Linked DNA regions of Ovis aries. The protein of the gene in region 1 purifies or fractionates together with the protein of each later gene. This does not show direct contact. Links are inferred from orthologs where the notes say so. Each region holds a gene or a part of one and is shown in the gene's direction. Other genes may lie near its edges.

Region 1 (3,622 bases):
CATGTAGTACTGTATTTGGTTTTATATAACATTTTGTACTTGGATTTTTCTGTATAAGCTGGACTAAATCTAGCTCTTTGCAAGTATCCACTGTAGCATTTTTTTGTTTTAAATCTATAGCGGCAGACTGATAGGTGTTATTTTCAGCTTTGAATCTGTTAGTTATTATGTAATCTGCAAATTACAATTACTGGCTAATTCATGAGCTCTTACTTCTTTCCCTAGGGTTCTGTATAAAGATGTTTTAAAAAAGCTGGTTTCTTTATATGAACCATTGTTTGGATTACTTCAAGAGGTCTCCAGGATTCAACCATTGCCTTACTTCAAAGGTTTTACCTTTCCTTCTGATATTGTTGAATTTTTAGGAGAGCCCTATTTTGAAGTCTTTAAGAAAAAAATGCCTACAGCTTTTGTAGCTAAAGGAGTAACCAAACTGCTAAATAAACTATTTTTAACAAAAGAGCAATCACAGAGGTCGGGTGAAGAAACTTTACTTAGAATTTCTGAAAAAGCTAAACAAATGAAGATCAATATACCGAATAACATGGATCTTGGACAACCAGTAAAGAGTAAGAAAATCTTAAAAGGTAATTTGCTTTGATATGGCTCATTTTCTTAAACTCTCTTAATTTTAACTCACATTATCTTTAGAGACGTGTGGTATTAATAATGTGTGTTTTCTAAGCTTGAGCATGTTATTTCTTTCTATTGTATCTTCATAGTTCTTTGCTTGCTTAACTCCCTTTGTTGTCATGTACTTAAGAATTTATTGTTTTGAAAACAGTATGCCTAATTGTTTTATCTGTACTCTATCTCCACAGAAAAGTCATCAGAATTTGATGTGAGAGCTTTCTGCAAACAGCTGAAACAAAAAGCTATTCAGGTTTGTCTGGCTTATTTTAATAATAGCTTATGATTTCTGCTAAGTGTAGATGCCACTTACCAAGGCCAGAGGCTGAATCTCACTTCTGGTTTTATCCTCGGCTCTAGGCATAGTGCCATCTTAGTCTCAGTCTGCTTCTGAATGAGTGGAGGCATTTCCAAGGGATCTGAGTGCATCTAGTTAATTCGGTTAATAGAATGCCTTCAGAAACATTTTACTAAGGGTTTTGCTAGGATTTTAAAATGATCCTAGGATCCACCATAGGAGTGGATTACACTGCAGCTTAAGAACATGGGCTTCGAAGTCAGATGGTTTGTGTCCTGGCTTTGGTGTGTAGTAGTTTGTGACCTTACGTAAGTTTCTTGACCTGTCCATGCCTCCATTTTCTAGAAACAGTATACACTTCATAGGGCTCTGCCAGTTTTAGTACATGTAAAGTATTCAGCACAGAGTCTCAAGTGTGGTAAGCCCTTACTTGATGTTAGATGTTGTCAGGTACTTCCATCGTCACTATCATCATCATCATCTTTTATCATGAGGCTTCTATTTCTGTCTTTCTGTCAGTGTTAGAGCTGCTGTCAGCATTTGACCTCTCCTCAGCCAGTGTCTGTAAACTTGGTTTGTTCTGGATCTGACACGGATAAGAAGTTCTTTTACTCTCTTTTCAAAGTTGTTTTCTTCATGGGCTATTTCTTCCATTCTATTCAAGAATTCTTTTCTAACAAGTCAGTACTTTCTTGAAGGTTTACAAGGATTCCAGCTTGCATTTATATTTTGTCCAGTTTACAAGTTCTGGAGGAAGATGTCATCATCACCATAATACTTATACTGCATTTACTCTTTGCTGGGCATTGTTCAGAACTCTTTATATGTGTAAACTCATATAATCCTTGCAAAAGTCCTGTGAGGTAGGTGCTGTTCTTTCCATGTTTCAGATGAGAAAATTAAGGCAAAGAAAGGACAAGAAATTTGTCTAGGCCAGATAGCAAATATGGGGCAGAACTGGGATTTGAACCAGGCAGTTTGGTTTTAGTCTTTGTCATTTAATATTATTTGTTGTTCAGTCACTAAGTTGTGTCTGACTTTCTGCAACTCCATGCCTGCAGCACACCAGGCTTCCCTGTCCTTAACTGTCTCCTGCAGTTTATCATTACACCAGTCTCCAAATAGTTTTATCAGCTCTCTCTTAATAACTACAGCTCTCTGTGACTCCTGAAACTTTCTGCAGTCCATCACTTGTTCCTATGTGAGCTGGTTCCAGCATCCCTCTTATTTATGACCAATCACTATTTTATTTTTAGCATTTAGCACCAACATGCTTAGGGTGTTTTTAGGCCAAACCTTTATGGATCACCAACACAAAGATCGATGGGTCTCTGCCTTCTACTACTATTACTTGTTCTTCTTGAGAATGAGAAATTTGCAAGAAACGAAGTTTTGAACACAAGATGGAAGCAGACCTTGTAGGTGGCATATTTCAATAAACAGTAGTAGTTGATAAAATTCACTTGACTTCATGCAGAAAAGTGACGTTGAAGAGACAGAGGTGCCACGTCAAAAGATGGTTGAATTGGAATTGGAAATATTGCTCAGTTAAGCATTTTTAGCATACATTCAGCAGTCATCTGCATTTCCACATTTATCAACAACATTTATGACCCTTCATTGAGGAGGTGATGAAAAACAAGCTGTGGTAGTCCAGTATTAGAGGAAAAGAGCCTTTCAGCGATTTTGTCTCCCGCCAGATAGACTTTGACCAATACTTAATTATGCGGAGTTTTATTCTTATGTGTAGGTTAAATGGGCTTCCTGGTGGCTCAGTGGTTGAGAATCCACCTGCCAGTGCAGGAGAGGCAGGATGGATCTGTGGGTGGGGAAGATCCCGGAGAAGGAAATGGCCACTTCGGTATTCTTGCCTGGGAAATCCCATGGACAGAGGAGCCCGGCGGGCTGTAGTCCATGGGGTCACAAACACAACAGCAACACAGGTTAAATAAATATGTCTGTAAATGTTTATACTGTTACTTGTGTACAACTGAATTTAGCTATAGATGGGATCTGTTGTAGCACAGAAGGGAAAAAATCGTATTAGGAACAGTGAATAAAAATTTTTTTAAGGAAAGGAATTCCCTGGCAGTCTAGTTATTAGGACTGTATTTCCACTGCAAGGGGGGTACCAGTCTGTTCCCAGGGTTGAGGAACTAAGATCCCCAAAGCCAGGTGGCACAGTCAAAAGAATTTAAAAAGACAAACAGAAAGCATGGGGAACTGGAAAAAACTTTTCTCCTTCTTTTAAAAAGATGCATTTTCAAATGTTGATAGTGTGTGAGTCAACTTCTCTCTCTTGTTATATGTCAGTAACAGATCCAATATATTTTTCTCATTCCATATTTCAGGAGAAGAACTTTGAGTTTAAATGTTCTCCATCCAAACTAAAGGCAACCAAACATTCTTCTCAGAAAGCAATAGGAACTCCCTGTGTAAAAAGTCTTGTGCAAAGATTCCGAGAGGCTGAGACTTTCACACAACTTTCTGAAGAAATCCAAATGGCAATTCTGTGGTGTAGAAGCAAAAAACTGAAGGTTCAGACCACCTTTCTGGGTAACAAACTTCTTAAAAGTAATCGGCTTAAACATGTGGAAGCTCAAGGCTCTAGGTAGGTATATTATAAAAATTACATTCCTTTACTTCTTCTGTTATCTTTTAAGGCGAAAGTATATAGTCAGCCTTTTTAATGTC
Region 2 (4,251 bases), on another chromosome or scaffold:
CCCCTCATCAGTATCCTGTTCCAGTGACAATAAAACTGTAGAGGTCACTGCAGGAGTGTGTTGGCTTCCTGGTCTTGGATGGGTATGGTGGTGGGGATGAGGGTGGTGGAGGCCAGAGTTGTCCATCTTCCTAGGAGTTGGACCACCAGCTATACTTATCCTAGTCTAGCTTTCTGGGAGATATAGAGCTCTCAGGATGAATGCTCTCATTTGCTTGATGTGAGTGGAACATTTGGTTTTATATCTATTTATCCCACATTTACCAAGTACACTCTAAATGTCAGATGCCATACCAGGTGGGGAGGTCACAGGTAGGGTCCACCTGATCCCTGCCCTGAACAGGATAGCAGGGGAAACAGTCATGGAAAAGGGGAGGGAACCATGTGGCACAAGGGTTCTTTGGGGGCACAGAAGAAAAGGATGTGGCAGGTAGCTCTGGAGAGTGATATGCAGGGTCTTTGAGAACCAAGGGAGCAGCATGTGCAAAGGAGAGGGGAGCCTCTATGTTGCTCTCCTGATGCTATAAGAGAAGGGGAGCCTAAAAGAGGATGCAGAGGGCTTTTGGGCTGGGGCGGGGCGGGGCGGTGCTGTGGCTGGAAAGGAGGGAGAGTTGGCATATTAGCAAAGAAACCGATGGCACCTCACTCCACCAAGTGTTTGCTGTCCCCTTGTGGTCTCCGGGACTGCTGCGGCTCCAGGCCCCTTTACGTCGACCTGCCCGCCACCGTACCGGCGCGGTCTCATTGGCATCTCAAATCCAACAAGTCTGAAACTGAGCCATCCTAGGCTCTTCCCTCCATCCGAAGAGTCGCCAAACCCACCTCGTAGTATCTTCCAACTTAATTTCCTTTTCCCCATTCCCAGTGTTGTTTCTCTGGCTCATTCTTTCAACAAATGCTTTATCAAATATTCGAGCACGTATAGGCAGGGCAACTTACGAAGCACCGCGGACATGCCCCTGGGACGTGCGGCCAGGAGTCACCAGAGGGAGGCCCGAGAGCTGCCCACACGAACAAGTCTGACTTGCGCCTTGATGAAAGCCCCCTGTGGGTCGCCAGTGCCCACAGGGTGAGGCTGAAGTTCAGAACTCGGTGATCTAGGCTCTCGCCCCCGCAGCGGCCACATCACCCGGCACCTCTAGCTCCGGTCCAAAGAGAAACCCGCCACTCTGCCTCTGCTACTGCGGTGTGCTCAGCGGGTAACGCCTGCCCTGAATCTTCTAAGGGCCAAATCCTCCGCATCCTTCCGACGCGGACTTCGGACGCGGGACTCCTCTGCTGGCCGCTCCTCTCCCCCGCAGCGCTCTCTCCGCTCGCAAAGGAATGCTCCTTGCCTGGGGCAGAACAGCAAAGACACCCTGCGTGCAGCGAATCCTCGCGTCCGGGGCCAGCTCACTCCCTGGCGTCCGGAACCTCTCGGTTTGCGAACCCGGCCCCTCAGGCCCCGCCCCGTCCGGCGTGCGCGGCCCCGCGACCTCGGCGCGCTTTCGGCCCGCGCCATCTTGGCTTCAGATCGAGCGTAGGGAGTGCGCGGCCGCGGCGGTGAGAGCCGGAGCCCTGCGGGGCAGGGGCGCCTAGAGGTGCGAGGAGGAGAGGGAAGGCCGGGTGCTGGGCCTCTGCGGTGGCCCGTGGCGGTGGGCACCACGGAGCCCGGCCTCTCGTGGCCCCGACGCCAGGGGTGGCCCGAGCAGTCGTTGGCGTCAAGCCTCTGCTTCCCAGTGTCTGAGGGACCCTCGGTTGAGGGGATCGACCCTGGAATCTCTGGATGAGAGAGGGGTGCCCGACCCTGTCCTCGGGGTCCAGGAGTTGGGGAGAGGATCGTTTCTGTCTTTGAGGAGCTTTTGGATGAAGGCTCATGGCTCCGTTTGGTGGAGCATGGGGTGTGGGGGGCGGGGAGGGGGGAGCTTGGCCCTGACCTCTGGGAGCACGAAGTGAGGCGCCTTTGCCCTGGCGCCCCGTGGAGAGCCCAGGGTGAGGAGCACTCAGCCTTGTGCTTAGGGAGTCTCGGGTGAGGGCCTGGATCCAGTCCCCAGGAGCCCCAGATGAGAAAGGTTCATTCCCAGTGCCAGGGAGCTAGAGATGGAGAGGCTTGGCCGGTGTTCAGGGTCGGTGGAGGGTTATGGCCCTGTCCAGAGGACTGGGGTACATGCCCCCCTAGGGGGAGGCAGGCATGACTCCTTGTCCTGGGGATGAGGGGTTTAAAGTCCCATTTCTGGGAAATCTGGGCGGAGCAGCACCCTCGGGTGGGGGTCGCCTGGGACACAGTGCCCACCATCCTTTGACTTCCCTGCAGCAGGGCAGCAAGGCGGACACGACAGCAGGCTGGATGGAGCACTACCGGAAAGCTGGCTCTGTGGAACTCCCCGCACCTTCCCCGATGCCCCAGCTGCCTCCTGATACCCTGGAGATGCGGGTCCGAGCTGGCAGCAAGATCCGCAACCTCTTGGGCTTGGCGCTGGAGCGGCTGGAGGGCGGCAGCGCTCGCCACGTGGTATTCTCAGGCTCTGGCCGCGCTGCAGGCAAGGCTGTCAGCTGTGCTGAGATTGTCAAACGGCGGGTACCAGGCTTGTACCAGCTTACCAAGCTGCGCTTCCTGCAGACCGAGGACAGCTGGGTGCCTACCTCACCTGACACGGGCCTGGATCCCCTCACGGTCCGCAGCCATGTGCCTGCAGTGTGGGTGCTGCTGAGTCGAGACCCCCTGGACCCCAATGAGTATGGCTACCAGCCCCCTGGGGCACCCCCTGACCTCGGGCCCACACCTGCCTCCAGCTGTGGCCCTCAGCCTAGAAGAAGGGCTCGAGATACCCGGTTCTGAGGACCTGTGGGCAAGCTGTTGTCTAGACTGTCTAGGATGGCTGTACCTTTGAGAAGCCTCTAACTGCTCAAGGTCTCCAACAAAACTTGAGTTTAGGAAAGTGGGCCTCCCTGTCCTGCTTCCCCTTCCCTCTGGCTCCTGGAAAGGGACTCTCGTGAAGAGTGACAGGTGTGGAGTCTCTGCCGGGTTCTAGATTGCTTAAGAAGCAACATCCTAAGTCAATGTGTAGGTCAACTTGCCACAGCATAAATAAAATAAAATATTATGTAGAGAAAGAAGAAGGGTTACTCTGCCTTTTACATACAGTGCCTCTCATCTGTCTTCTGACAGAGATCCAAGGAGTGAGTTAGGAAATAAAGGCTCTGTCTGTCTGATGAACCTCTGCTTGGCCTGCTGTGTGGAAGTAGGGTTAAGGGAGTGGGAGTCCCTGCCCTTGACCGCCAGGAGCTCCCAGTCTGGAGACAGGAAAAGTAGGTTCAGATGGGTGCTGGGAGGATCTGGACTGAAGATGCAGCCTCAAGCAGTAACCTGACTGTCTAGATCCCTGGGTAGCTATCTGCTTCCTGTTTGGGGCTGGTTGAAGGACTCTGCATTTTTCTCCACCTGCAGCATAGAGACATACCTCATTTTGTTGCACGCAGATACTACATTTCTTACAGAAGAAGTGAAGTTCTGTGGCAGACCTGCACTGAACAAGTCTGGCAACACCATTTTTCCAACAGTGTTCATTTCGTGTCTCTGTCACATTTTGGTAATTCTCAAAATATCTCAAACTTTAATTATTATATTTGTTATAGTGATCTATGATGTTACTACTGTAACTTAGTGAAAACTCAAATGATGGTTAGCATTTTTTAGCAATAAAATATTTTAAAATTAAGGTATATATGTAGATTGTTTTTTAGCTATAATTCTGTCACATTCATAATAGACTACAATATAGGGCTTCCCTGGTGGCTAGAGGTTGAAACCTCTGCCTCCAATGTGGGAAACCCGCGTTCAATCCCTGGGTCGGGAAGATCCCCTAGAGAAGGAAATGGTAACCCACTCCAGTATTCTTGCCTGGAGAATCCCATGGACAGAGAAGCCTGGTAGGCTACAGTCCACGGGGTCGCAAAGAGTCAGACACGACTGAGCGACTTCACTTCACTTCTTAGAGTAAACATAACTTTTTTAAGCACTGGGGAACCAATAAACTTCTGTGACTTGCACTATAGAGATCTTCCTTTTATTGAGGTGGTCTGGGACTGCACCCAAATGTCTCTGTGAAGTATGCCTATATTACAATATAGTGGTTGAGATCATGGCCTTGGTCACCAAGCTGTCTGGATTTGAATCCTGGGTCTGCCACTTATTAGGTAGTTACTGCTCTGCGCTTTAGTGTTCTCATCATCCATAGAACAAGATGTAGTGCTTGCCTTGAAGGATTGTTAT
Region 3 (4,212 bases), on another chromosome or scaffold:
GATAACATGGGGCAGATCCCTCTTAAAATTCCCTTCTGAGACCAAGGGGAAAAGTCATGAGACGAATACAAGTCAAGATGTGGCCTCAGGCTAGAGATTGTCTGTGTACTATCTGTGATAAGTTAGCACAGAAATTAGAACTGTTTAGAAACTTTCACACCCATTAGGCCTTATCTGTATACCCAAGTCCCTAGCTATTGGACTCTTCTTATTCAGTCGAGTACAGAGCAATTCAGATGTTAGACCAAACTTTTGAGGCCAGATTTGTCTATTGGTCATGCAGGAGGAAACAGGAATGGGTCCTAGAACAACTGGGTGGGTGGGTGGGGAGGGCAGTAACCAGGCCCTTCATCACAGATCGTTTGAAAAAGCACTGATGTTAACTATTATTGTTGTTGTTGAGTTGTTAAGCCATGTCCAACTCTTTGTGACCCCATGGACTACAGCACGCCAGGCTTCTCTGTCCTCCAGTGTCTTGCAGCGTTTGCTCAAATTCATGCCCATTGAGTCGGTGATGCCATCCAACCACATGATGTCATCTGATGTCAACTACAGTTTCACAGTTTTATGTTCTCGGATCATTGATCAATATTTAAGAAGAGTTCACTTACACGAGTTCAAAAATGTGGAAATATCAATTGTGTGGAATTTGATTGTACATTTCTTCTTATTTTAATTACGCCCCTCTCTTGTCTAACCAGCTTTTGGCTGAACCAGTGATGGAGCTAACCTCTCATCCTAGAAAGAACCCTGCCATCTGGTGGCTGACGATATTGAGTGTAAGGAAGTAGCGCGCTGTGAACTCCCAGTTCAGACAGAGGAAAAAGACCTTTCCCCCTGGCAATCCGCTTTTAGGTCAGTTTCCCCATTTTCCGTTAAGTCCATTTTAAACAACGGAATGGCCTTTAACGGGGGAAAAAAGAACAAGTTCCCTACTACTTTTAAAGCATTTCCAGCCCTTAGCAAAAGGATTTGGTTCAAGTAGGCGCTCAATTAATGGTGTATATGTCCATTTTAAAAGAATCATTTTCTACATTATTTCCAAGGATGAAGGGTGGGAGGTGTGAACCCCCACGGCCCAACCCCAGGAGAAACCAGACATTCTCATTTGGAAGAAGACGAAGGGCTGAAGCGAGGCTGCTAATCTCCACGTGCTAACTTCTGCTGGTACTTGAAGGCAAGAAAGGAGGCGGAGACCCGCAGACTGCGGGAGGGCGGGGCTGGCCGAGCCGCTGAACTGCAGTTCCCGGCATGCCCGGGGAGGCGGGGCCCAGAGGCCGCGCCGGCGCCGGGGCTCACGTGGCTTCAGCATGGCGGCGTTTGCCGACTTGGACCTGCGGGCGGGTTCCGACCTGAAGGCGCTGCGCGGGCTCGTGGAGAACGCTGCTCACCGTGAGTCTCCCGGGCTGCGCGGGCCGCCGTGCCTGCGCTGTCTCGCTGTCCCTAGGCTGTCGAGCCATGCTCTGGAGGGACCCGGCGGGCCTAGTTCTGGTGTCCTGGGGCCTCCGGCGTGTCCTTAGAAACTGATGCCCCTGCGGTGTTACTCTGACCCGAGGCGCGGGAAACTCGAAAGCCCTGGGGAGATGTTACCCAGTCCAGCTCCTTCTGTCTTGCGAATTGAGGAAACTGAGGCCCTGACATGGCGGGGGATCTGCATGGGCCCCACAGCTGATGGATGGAAGAAGACGGGGCTCCCAAGTATACGCCTACACCAGTGCCTTTCATATCGCCCCTTCCTAAGTCTCTTGACATTGTCCTGATGCTGTCAAATGCGGGAAACTGATGCAGAGAGGGGGAGTCCTGTGGGGGCCCTGAGAATGGGGACATGTGGTTCCGAGTGTCGGAATGTTATTTACACGGAGAGTAAGTGGGGGCGGAGGACTTACTAGGAGGGTGGGAGGAGAGCAGAATGGCTAAAATGTAACTCCTGTTTGAATCCAGGGGAAACAAAAGCCGAGAGAGGTTAAGACCTTACCTTAATTATTGAAGTGAATCACAACTGCTGTCTAAGTGGGCGTAGAAGGGTTTCAAAATAGAAGAGGTTTCTTCAGGGTCTGTTAAGTAATGGACGCTCAGTAAATATTTGAGAGAGGAAGAAAAGGACCTTGGACAAACTCATGAGGGGGGAGACCACTATTTTGACCGTAATATGCGTTATCTTTTAATATTAATATCCTGTCGTCACCGTTGCTGTTTAAATAGCTTAAAGATTGGAGTCATGATTTAAACATATTTTTGAAGTCCACATGTCCAGAGCAGTGCTGTGTTGAGGCTGATAAAGCCAGGCCTTGGCTTCAGAGAGTTCTCAGTCTCTTGGTGGGTAGCTCAAAGGAGAACGTGGACATTGGTGTGAATTAGTGGTCATCCTGTTTCACCTTAGCAAAAGGGTCTCTGAAGAAGTAGAAAGGGTAAAAAGCAAAAGAAAAAACGGAAAAGTAAGAATGAAGTTGATAGTGAAAAAAGTATAAATTTGATGAGATGAAAATGAACATAGGGACACGAAAAAGAATAATGGTTGAAAGAAGATAGGCAAAGATAAAGGTCTTTGTTATCATGCTGATAATACATCACCAAAGTCAAACAAAGCCCTGTGTCTATGCTAGGCACTGTTCTAAAACATCCAGCATGTGTTATCTCATTTAATTCCCATGACAGTTGTATGAGATGAATCCTGATATCATCACCATTTGGCAGATGAACAACCTGAAACTTAAGGTTAAGTAACTTTTAAGTAGTAATGTTTAGGTTTGAGAACAGGCAAATCTGACTCCAGAATCCATACTCATAACCATTCTTCTGCCTTGTAGTCTTGACATGAATTGGTATGAGCTTATGTGTAAAAGAGGTTGTTGTATTTGACAAGAATGTTCAATTTTTCTTTTCAGTGGGCTATTCAGTTGTTGCCATCAATCATGTTGTTGAATTTAAGGAAAAGAAACAGGTAAAATAGGATTTCTGACAATAATAACCAGCATTTATAATTATTTTGTGTGTATCGGTAATGTGGAAGCTACAGATGAGCACTCTGTGCATTGTTTTATGTGTTAATAGTTGAGCTGATACATATCTGTACAAATGATAACTTTTTTGTGAAGTGCTGGGGTATGGTGTAAAGATTCTTAAAGTCGATCTGATGTTAAGTAACTTTTTAAAAAGTGCATTGTTGTTGTTTAAACTTTAATCACAATAGTTCATCTTTTTTATTTTACCGTCATGGACTCATTACTGATTGATTTCCCTTCCGAACATACTAGTAAATATGTGTATCTCTCCTTAGGCCAACAATTGTTCCTTACAGATTGTTTCATTCTAAAAAATTGTTGTTCATCCTTCCTTTCCATTGATGTTCTCAGCTCCTACTTGGCTTCAACTGTCTTTACATGGACATACACACAGCTTATCTAGTGTTTCTGCATGCTAGAAATAAGCTTTCTAAAAATTATTCTTTATTTGTTGTAGGAAATTGACAAACCAGTAGCTGTTTCTGAACTCTTTACAACTTTGCCAATTGTACAGGTAAGTGCTTTGTTTAAGAAACATAATACGTACTCAGACAGTTCAGGCGTTCCCAGTCATATGTATGGTTCTCTAACCTGCACTGCCCGTTCCTTTGTCTACCAGTCCTACCTTTCCATGAAGACTTAGTTTTTCCATGAAACATTATGTACGTCTCTTTTTCTCTAGCTATTCAGGTATACCTCAGAGATACTGTGGGTCTGGTTCCAAACTACCATGTTAAAGCAAGTCACGAATGTTTTGGTTTCCTGATTCATGTTAAGTTTATGCTTACCTTGTCGATTAAGTGTGCAGCAACCTGGAGAATCCCAGGGATGGGGGAGCCTGGTGGGCTGCCGTCTGTGGGATCGCACAGAGTCAGACACGACTGAAGCGACTTAGTAGCAGCAGCAGCAGCATTGTATCTAAAAAAACACAATGTTTATCTGAATTTTTAAATATTTTACTGCTTAAAAATGCTCACCATTATCTAAGTCTTCAGTAAGTTATGATCTTTTTGCCAGTGGAGGGTCTTACATTGATGCTGAAGGCTGGTGACTGATCAGGGTGGTGGTTGCTAAAGGCTGGGGTGGCTGTGGCAATTTCTTGAAATAAGACGATGAATTTGCTGCATGAACTTGCTTACTTTCAGTACAATTTCTCTGTAGCATGCAATGCTGTTTGATAGTATTTTACCCACAGTAAATCTTCTTTCAA

What was found.
Region 2: the proteins of NEPRO (region 1) and RPP25L purify together in Homo sapiens (affinity purification with mass spectrometry; 3 studies listed by BioGRID and IntAct, with this or other methods). This does not show direct contact. The link is inferred for Ovis aries from reciprocal best matches to the Homo sapiens genes RMP64 and RPP25L.
Region 3: the proteins of NEPRO (region 1) and RPP30 purify together in Homo sapiens (affinity purification with mass spectrometry; 3 studies listed by BioGRID and IntAct, counting the BioPlex papers as one, with this or other methods). This does not show direct contact. The link is inferred for Ovis aries from reciprocal best matches to the Homo sapiens genes RMP64 and RPP30.

The regions. Positions count from the first base shown.
Region 1 is NC_056054.1:178,668,409-178,672,030, reverse strand, and holds part of NEPRO (nucleolus and neural progenitor protein), read left to right. Parts: intron 1-225; coding exon 226-587; intron 588-821; coding exon 822-883; intron 884-3,279; coding exon 3,280-3,539; intron 3,540-3,622. UniProt on the Homo sapiens protein: May play a role in cortex development as part of the Notch signaling pathway. Downstream of Notch may repress the expression of proneural genes and inhibit neuronal differentiation thereby maintaining neural progenitors.
Region 2 is NC_056055.1:36,953,820-36,958,070, forward strand, and holds RPP25L (ribonuclease P protein subunit p25-like protein), read left to right. Parts: upstream 1-1,498; 5' UTR 1,499-1,541; exon of another isoform or gene 1,542-1,579; intron 1,580-2,292; exon of another isoform or gene 2,293-2,295; 5' UTR 2,296-2,325; coding exon 2,326-2,817; 3' UTR 2,818-3,697; downstream 3,698-4,251. UniProt on the Homo sapiens protein: May be a component of ribonuclease P or MRP.
Region 3 is NC_056075.1:12,318,720-12,322,931, forward strand, and holds the start of RPP30 (ribonuclease P protein subunit p30), read left to right. Parts: upstream 1-1,297; 5' UTR 1,298-1,310; coding exon 1,311-1,392; intron 1,393-2,885; coding exon 2,886-2,941; intron 2,942-3,459; coding exon 3,460-3,516; intron 3,517-4,212. UniProt on the Homo sapiens protein: Component of ribonuclease P, a ribonucleoprotein complex that generates mature tRNA molecules by cleaving their 5'-ends. Also a component of the MRP ribonuclease complex, which cleaves pre-rRNA sequences.